2 linked regions of the Xenopus tropicalis genome follow. The protein of the gene in region 1 purifies or fractionates together with the protein of each later gene. This does not show direct contact. Links are inferred from orthologs where the notes say so. Each region holds a gene or a part of one and is shown on either strand. Other genes may lie near its edges.

The links. Proteins that work in one complex are often made in the same cells at the same time.
Region 2: the proteins of vcp (region 1) and ppp1r7 purify together in Homo sapiens (affinity purification with mass spectrometry; 3 studies listed by BioGRID and IntAct, with this or other methods). This does not show direct contact. The link is inferred for Xenopus tropicalis from reciprocal best matches to the Homo sapiens genes VCP and PPP1R7.

The regions. Positions count from the first base shown.
Region 1 is NC_030677.2:212,825,783-212,830,095, reverse strand, and holds the start of vcp (transitional endoplasmic reticulum ATPase), read left to right. Parts: upstream 1-1,512; 5' UTR 1,513-1,625; coding exon 1,626-1,642; intron 1,643-4,313. UniProt on the Homo sapiens protein: Necessary for the fragmentation of Golgi stacks during mitosis and for their reassembly after mitosis. Involved in the formation of the transitional endoplasmic reticulum (tER).
Region 2 is NC_030681.2:125,946,468-125,949,983, forward strand, and holds part of ppp1r7 (protein phosphatase 1 regulatory subunit 7), read right to left. Parts: intron 690-3,516; coding exon 573-689; intron 1-572. UniProt on the Homo sapiens protein: Regulatory subunit of protein phosphatase 1.

The DNA of each region.
Region 1 (4,313 bases):
GCCTACTAAGCAGGGGAACTACATGTCCCAGAGTCCATCACTTCACTCTGGAATGAGGCGAGGGAGGAGTTGCAGGACACTGCAATGGGCAATGCCTAGAGGTGGCCATATATACGGGCCGATTCTAGCTGCCGATATGGGTCCCTTAGACCGATTCAGCAGCTAATCAGCCCGTGTATGGGCACTACCGACGGGTCTGCCTGACTGATATCTGGCCTGAAATTCTAAGATTAGCAGACAATGGAAAGGAATAACGACTCTGCTGACTTTGTGAAAATCTGTTTTGTTTTTTTACCTGTTTATTAGAATATAAAAACCAAGAAAAGATTTCAGCGGCCAAACGCAAGGTGGAAACTGGAGGTTCCGAGAGGCCCTAGGGCCAAACGATTGAATTAACCCGATATTGGGCACCTTAGATGGGAATATCAGGAGAAGAGCCACTTGTTTGGGGAGGTGTATGGCCACCCTTTAGGTATATCTGTTTAAAAACAAACAAACATATATTCCTATGTTTATGTACCTTGTTCCATGTGTAAAGAATGGGGACATATTTCCCCTTTAATGGCTTTAAGGATTGGAAGGAATGTTTATATGAATAGAAACAATTCCCACCAGGTAACTTACTGCCAGTTAGTCCAGCAAAACACCATCAGTTCCCCACAATAAACTGAACCATTAACCCCCTGTGTGCCAGCTTCTCTCCCAGTGCCAGGCCTGCCCAATGTGTGATATTATGGCACTTTGTGGGTCAATGTTACCTCAGCTCTGGGCAGGTAGGGGAAATTACCCACAATGCATTGCCTTACAGACAGGGCAGATAATGAGCGATCACTGCCATGTGAGGGGCAATAGATTGAGAGCTTGTAGCCCAGGAACTGCAGGGGGAGGGGCTAACATGTAGTACAGTTGGGGCACATGTATTACTCCTTATGGGTGAAGCTACTAGTGGGTGCATGGCTACAGGCCCAGGGGCCATATCACATTACAATGGCCAAACTTCATTTATTGTATGTGGCTGGGCGCCATATTCCATCTGTTGTGAGTAAATTGCCCTGTCACGCCGCTCAGCGAGTTGACTGACAGTCGGCCAACCTCAGAATTTGTTTCTCTTTTGTGCGGCTTCTTCCTGGTGACACGCCCCCTTTTCCGTTTTTTGACCAATCCCAGTCGGCCAGACGCGCAGTTGCTAGGAGTTAGTAGGACAGACGCGGTAGGCTCCTTCATTGCAGTGCGCCTTCATCTTTACGGACCAATCAGAAGCGGCGGCCGGGTAGGACGCTAGAGGCGTGGCCTATATCCCATCATTCCTTGCTCATCACCCGTCAGTTCTGGGCCCCGCTGATTGGTTGCAGTATTAAGACGCAAGCGCAGACGGCGGACAGTGATGCTGCACTTTACCCTCCTGTGTGTGTAAGCCCCGCCCAGCCGCCGGCGCTCCTCCTCCTTTCCCTCGGTCAGTCACACAGTGAAAGCGAGAGAACGGACAGCGGGGCAGCGAGCGGAGCAGCGAGAGGGAACAGCGGGACTCACAGGCGGGACGGGACCGAAACACCTGATAAGCGGCAGGAACCGAGCGCTCAGTTTCTCCTTACCGGCAGCGGAGCGGCACAGGCCGGACACCGAGCATGGCTTCCGGATCCGAGTGAGTTACCGGGGAGCGGGCTGAGGGGGGTCTGTGGGTGCCGGTGGGACGCCGCCGCCGGGAGCTCCGCCCATTGGCTGGCACAGCGGGACCCGGGGTGTGCGGCCTACTGCGGCCTCCTCATCCTGCTGTGTCATGCACCCCTCACAGCGGCACCTACCGGCAGGACTACAACTCCCAGCATTCCCTGCCAACAGCCGGCCCCAGTGTTATCTGCTGGGAATGGTACCCTGCCTGCCGGGACTGACCTACAGGAAACCTGCCGGGAGAGCCTTGTCTTTTCCAGTGGGTCACCTCTGGCTGCCTTGGGGGATGCTGGGAGTTGTAGTCCAACATCAGGATTAGGGTGCCCTGCCTCTAATATCATCATGTCTGGGGCCCTAGCTGCCCTGGGGGATGCTGGGAATTGTAGGCCACTAGCAGCATGGGTTTATACTGTATGACATTAGTGGGGTACAGGGAGTCTGCAGTAGTACCAGGCCTTGTACAGTGGCTGATCTCCAGCTGCTGTGGGGGATGCTGGGAATTGTAGTCCAACATCAGGATTAGGGTGCCCTGCCTCTAATATCATCATGTCTGGGGCCCTAGCTGCCTTGGGGGATGCTGGGAGTTGTAGTCCAACATCTGGATTAGGATCCCCTGCCTCTAATATCATGTCTGGGGCCCTAGCTGCCTTGGGGGATGCTGGGAATTGTAGTCCAACATCAGGATTAGGGTGCCCTGCCTCTAATATCATCATGACTGGGGCCCTAGCTGCCTTGGGGGATGCTGGGAGTTGTAGTCCAACATCAGGATTAGGGTGCCCTGCCTCTAATATCATGCTTGGGGCCCTAGCCGCCTTGGGGGATGCTGGGAGTTGTAGTCCAACATCAGGATTAGGGTGCCCTGCCTCTAATATCATGCTTGGGGCCCTAGCCGCCTTGGGGGATGCTGGGAGTTGTAGTCCAACATCAGGATTAGGGTGCCCTGCCTCTAATATCATGCTTGGGGCCCTAGCCGCCTTGGGGGATGCTGGGAATTGTAGTCCAACATCAGGATTAGGGTGCCCTGCCTCTAATATCATGTCTGGGGCCCTAGCTGCCTTGGGGGATGCTGGGAATTGTAGTCCAACATCAGGATTAGGGTGCCCTGCCTCTAATATCATCATGACTGGGGCCCTAGCTGCCTTGGGGGATGCTGGGAGTTGTAGTCCAACATCAGGATTAGGGTGCCCTGCCTCTAATATCATGCTTGGGGCCCTAGCCGCCTTGGGGGATGCTGGGAGTTGTAGTCCAACATCAGGATTAGGGTGCCCTGCCTCTAATATCATGCTTGGGGCCCTAGCTGCCTTGGGGGATGCTGGGAGTTGTAGTCCAACATCAGGATTAGGGTGCCCTGCCTCTAATATCATGTCTGGGGGCACTAGCCGCCTTGGGGGATGCTGGGAGTTGTAGGCCACTAGCAGCATGGGTTTATACTGTATGACATTAGTGGGGTACAGGGAGCCTGTAGTAGTACCAGGCCTTGTACAGTGGCTGATCTCCAGCTGCTGTGGGGGATGCTGGGAGTTGTAGTCCAGTCACCGTATCTAGTTGAACGCTGGTTGCTATAGAGAACCTGACATTGGCAACACAGGGTACCCTTTGGGTATAATAGGAGCCATAGCTGGGCATGAGGGTGGGTATCCATGGAAACCTGCCAGAAATGAGGCAACTTGCCGGGAACTCTTATTGGCCCTTTGTCTGCATCCCAATCTGAGCTATGGCTGATGTACCCTATCAAATATGTATAACCCTGCCCATTTGGGCCGCTGGCACACTGCCTGGGTGTGAGTATGTGCCTGTGGCCCAGTGCCAAGGTGCCAGTGGAACTGCTTTATGATGCTGGCACCGGTGCCCACAGCTGCTGGCACTCACAGCATAGAGAGGGGCCGTGCCACCTCATCCTAATCACTGGCCAGTTAGTGGGGTTTGGGCAGGACCTACCCCTGCCATTACAATGGTACGTTCCAGAACAGGCAGTGCAGAGAGATACACCAGGGTTATACCAACTGCAGCTGGGGGGGTTATATCTGTGTGCCCATGCCTATTGGCTGACCCTCGGGCCCCCATGTGCTCTGGGCCTGCTCCCTGCTGGGTCCCTGCGCTTTGCCCAATGAATGGTTCTCCCCTGTCAGCACAAATGCCCCTGCCCCCAGAGGGAACGGCCATGCTAAGCTTTCCTGCCCCTCGTGAGAGAAGCCCCCCCCCCGCACTACAGTCTGACCTTCTGGATCCCCAGCGCCCACCTACCTACCTGCCCCTGGGCTCTTGGGGTGCTCTCCTCCCCTTCTGCTCCACATTTATATAAATCTCTATACATTTGCCCAAACCTGCCCAATATTATATGGAGTAGCCCCCCCATCCCCCCTCCTTGTCCCAACTCTCTTTATAACCGGTGCCAAGCGATACCCTTAGCAACCTGGGTGTTATTATCCCCCCCCCTGAGGTGAGAAGTGGAACTGCAGGAGACTGGAGGAGCCCCACACACACTTGGCTGATAGTGATACCCCATTGGGAGATGCTGATGTATCCAGGATCCCGTACCCTGTGGGTAAATGGCATCTGTGCCCGCTAATTGGCAGGAAATAGGGCTGTACTTCTGGTTCTGACTCTTCAAACAATGTAGCCCTTCCCCAGTTCTGCAGCTGGAT
Region 2 (3,516 bases), on another chromosome or scaffold:
ATCCAAGTGAATAGGGAATCAGGATAGAGAATTCCCTGAGGGATCCACTACGGGGTGTGTCGCAGAGGTGAAGGGAGATTCCTGCCAGTCTGCCCGCAGGGGAGTGTTAGTCTGAATATACACTCGGTATGTGTTGCCTGTACCACTGCCCTCTGAAGCTGTATTGTGAGTAAACCCTGTGGATGTTCAATAAATACTTATTACTTTGTTATTTGCAAGAACCTCTGGCGCCCTCTGGTTTAATTTTTCTGCATAGCAGCAAGAGAGGTGTAGTTGCACAACACCCTCACCTTCCTCTTCCACTTAGCGAAGGCCCATTCTGGGTAAGAGGGTACAGTGTAACCCATGTTCTACTGATACTAGTCCGGGAAAGCAGCTATTGAGCTGAAATAGAGGTTACACCGCCTTCTTCTTTTCTACTTTCAATTGGGGGTCACTGACCCCAGCAGACAAAAAAAACAAGAAAAATGCATGGTAAAAAAAAAAAAAAAAGCAGTGATGAAAAAAGCATTAACTGTCAGTTCACATAACTAAGCCCACACTGAAGCCTGCAGATTGTGGAAATGGCTTACCTGCACACTCAGAACAGTAAGGTTTGTCAGAGTTTCCAAATTCTGGAGTTTAGTGATTTTATTTTTACCAAGAAAAAGACTGTCGAGTTCTCGCAGAGAATCCAGGTTTTCAATCACCTGCAAATAAGCCACAGGTACAGTATTCATTACTACTATACACTGCTTACATAACAGATGGTATTTGTTTGAATCTTAAATCTGGGATACAAAAATGTATTGCCATAATACCTTTAACAGAACAAAGGGGTTCTTGGACTTACCTTGAACTGAACTGTCAGTGCAAAAGACTAAACCCCTAAACGCAGGACAAAAGCTCTCAACTCTTCTAATATATGGGTTGGCTCCTTCTTGTCCCCAGTTTAGGCTGAATGGGAAATGCCTGTACAAGTCATACTTTCTTGGCTACATGGACCAGACCAAAATATATTTTCTCATATGGGGGACACAGGGACAACTGGTTACGCTCCCACCAGAGGCAGGACACAGACAAAAAACTAAAAACTCCTCCTCCCCTTCCATATATATCCCTTGTTAATGCCTCCTACTCAGTTTTTCAGTGTCCTTGAGCAGGAGGTTAGGACCATGGTCTGTATAGAGACCCTACACAATTTTGGGTGGCAGATCAACAGATGGAAGTCTTCGCTTCTTCCCAGCCAGGTCATGCAAGTTTCTCGGATTGGTGTTCAACACAAAAAAACCAATGACACTTCCAGAGGACAGGCAAGCATGGGTGGGACATGGTATCTTATCTTCAGAAACAAGCACCTTAAAGGTGGCCATACACGTGGCGATCTGACGATGTTTCGTACGACCATCGGTCGCACGAAACATCGTAAGATCCGCCACACACCATTCAGGGCTGAATCGGCAGGTAAGGAGGTAGAAACAATAGGATTTCTACCTCCTTCTGCCGATTCAGCTCTGAAGGGAGAATTTTGGTCAGGCGCCTTCTATGGCGCCCGATCAAAATTTTCAAACTGGTCCGATCGGCGAGTCGTCCGATATCAGCAGCTTCCTGCGATATCGGTCGACTCGCCGACATACCATACACGCACCGATTATCATACGAAACGAGGTTTCGTACGATAATATCGGTGCGTGTATGGCCACCTTTAGTCAGATTTTGCATTAAAGTCCTCAGACTGATGGTCAGTGCCGGAATTTCTGATTAGGGAACTAGAGAACCTGAATTCGGTACTTAGAGCCTTGCAGGAACAGCCATTTGAAACAATGGCTTTGGTCAATTTGGAATTATTGACACGGAAGGTTGTCTTTCTGTTGGCTGTAGTGTCTGCAAAAAGGGTTTCTAAACTGAGCTTTCTGTCAGTTGCCCCTGATGGGTATTTCACAGGGACAAAGTGGTACAGAAAAAAGCTCCATCATTTCTACCTAAAGTGGTTCAGCCAATTATAGTCAGAGACTTAAAATACTAAGAACTTACTCATTAAGGCATTTGTGATCCCTGTGGGTCCAAGGAGAGGGACAGCTGCTACTAAGACTACAATGTCTCAGTGAATTACAAAGACTATCCATCAAGCATATGTGGCTTCCCACAGGAGTAGATCAAAGCTCACTCGACCAAGACCCTAAGCGCCTCTTGGGCGTGGAGAAACAATGCTTCTGCAGAGCTGCTGTGCAGAACAGCCACATAGTCCTCTATTCATACGTTTAGAAAATTCTATTGTTTTGATGTTTTTTCCTCCTCCAAAGCCAGTTTTAGTAGGAAGGTTCTTCAGGCTGTAGTTGTGACTGACTACTGTGGTACCGGTTTGTTTCCCTCCCTGGTTCCTGAGGGACTGCTTTGGTAGGTTTCAGAGATTCCTGAATTCGGGATTCGGCCGAATCCACGCTCCTGGCCGAACCGAATCCAAAAAATCATGTGACTTTTTGTCACATAAAACATGGAAGTTGAATTTTTTTTTTAAATTTAACCCTCTACATTTATCATTTAACCCTTCCAAAACCTAATAAGAATATGCTAAATAGGATTCAGTTCGGTATTCGGCCAAATCCTTTACAAAGGATTTGGGGATTCAGCCGAATCCGAAAAAGTGGATTCAGTGCATGCCTAGTTCCTGTGTCCCCCAAGGATGTAACAGAAGAGGTTAAGCAAGAGGTATATAGGGAATGGAGGAGGAGTTTTTGTTTCTTGAGTGTCCTGCACCCTGGAGGGAGGAGCTTAACCAGGAGCTTAGAGAGAAAGAGATTTAATGGTAAGTTATACAAAGATCTCCTTTTCTAGTCCAGTGTGGCCTACTCTATGACCTGATTTTGAAGATGGGTTAAGATTGCAATTGGGGGCGATTTCTGCATTCCTTAAGGTGTATTTGCATTGCTTAGACTTCACCTAGCCATCACTTTACTTTTGTTGCCTGGGCTTTCTGGGTTGTGGCTGGGTATCTACCATGATTTTTTTTGCAGTGCCTTACTGTTGTCCTTGGAAATAGTAGTGCAACTAATAGAAAAAAGTAACAGACTGAGTAAGCTGTAGAAGTCTCCACCATGAATGTGCCTTGTCTGCATAGATGCCCTGTGTTAGAACTGAAGCCAGATGTGACATATTGCTGGGTATCCACAAACTTTCCAAAATGGAACAATGCATTTAATAAAAAAAAAAAAAAAAAAGCGGCCAGCTACAATGGTGCCCCAAAGTACATGGAAGGGGAAATTTTTGAAAGCACAGAAATTCATGACCGACCATAGAAGCACAATAGTAGGCACACTAGCCAAGGTCCTGATTCATTCTTAATCATTTTGGCAAACAGCTGCTTACTAAGCTTTCTATATCTGTAATTGGGATCACTCTGATAACATATTGGCTGTCTCTCCCAAGCTGAAAAGTTCTTGCACCTTGTACACAATGTCTGAGACCACTAAGGACTTACTCCACTTACTGCAATGCAAGTGAATAAGAAGGAAGTAGTCAGTCCAGTTCTGCGCATCA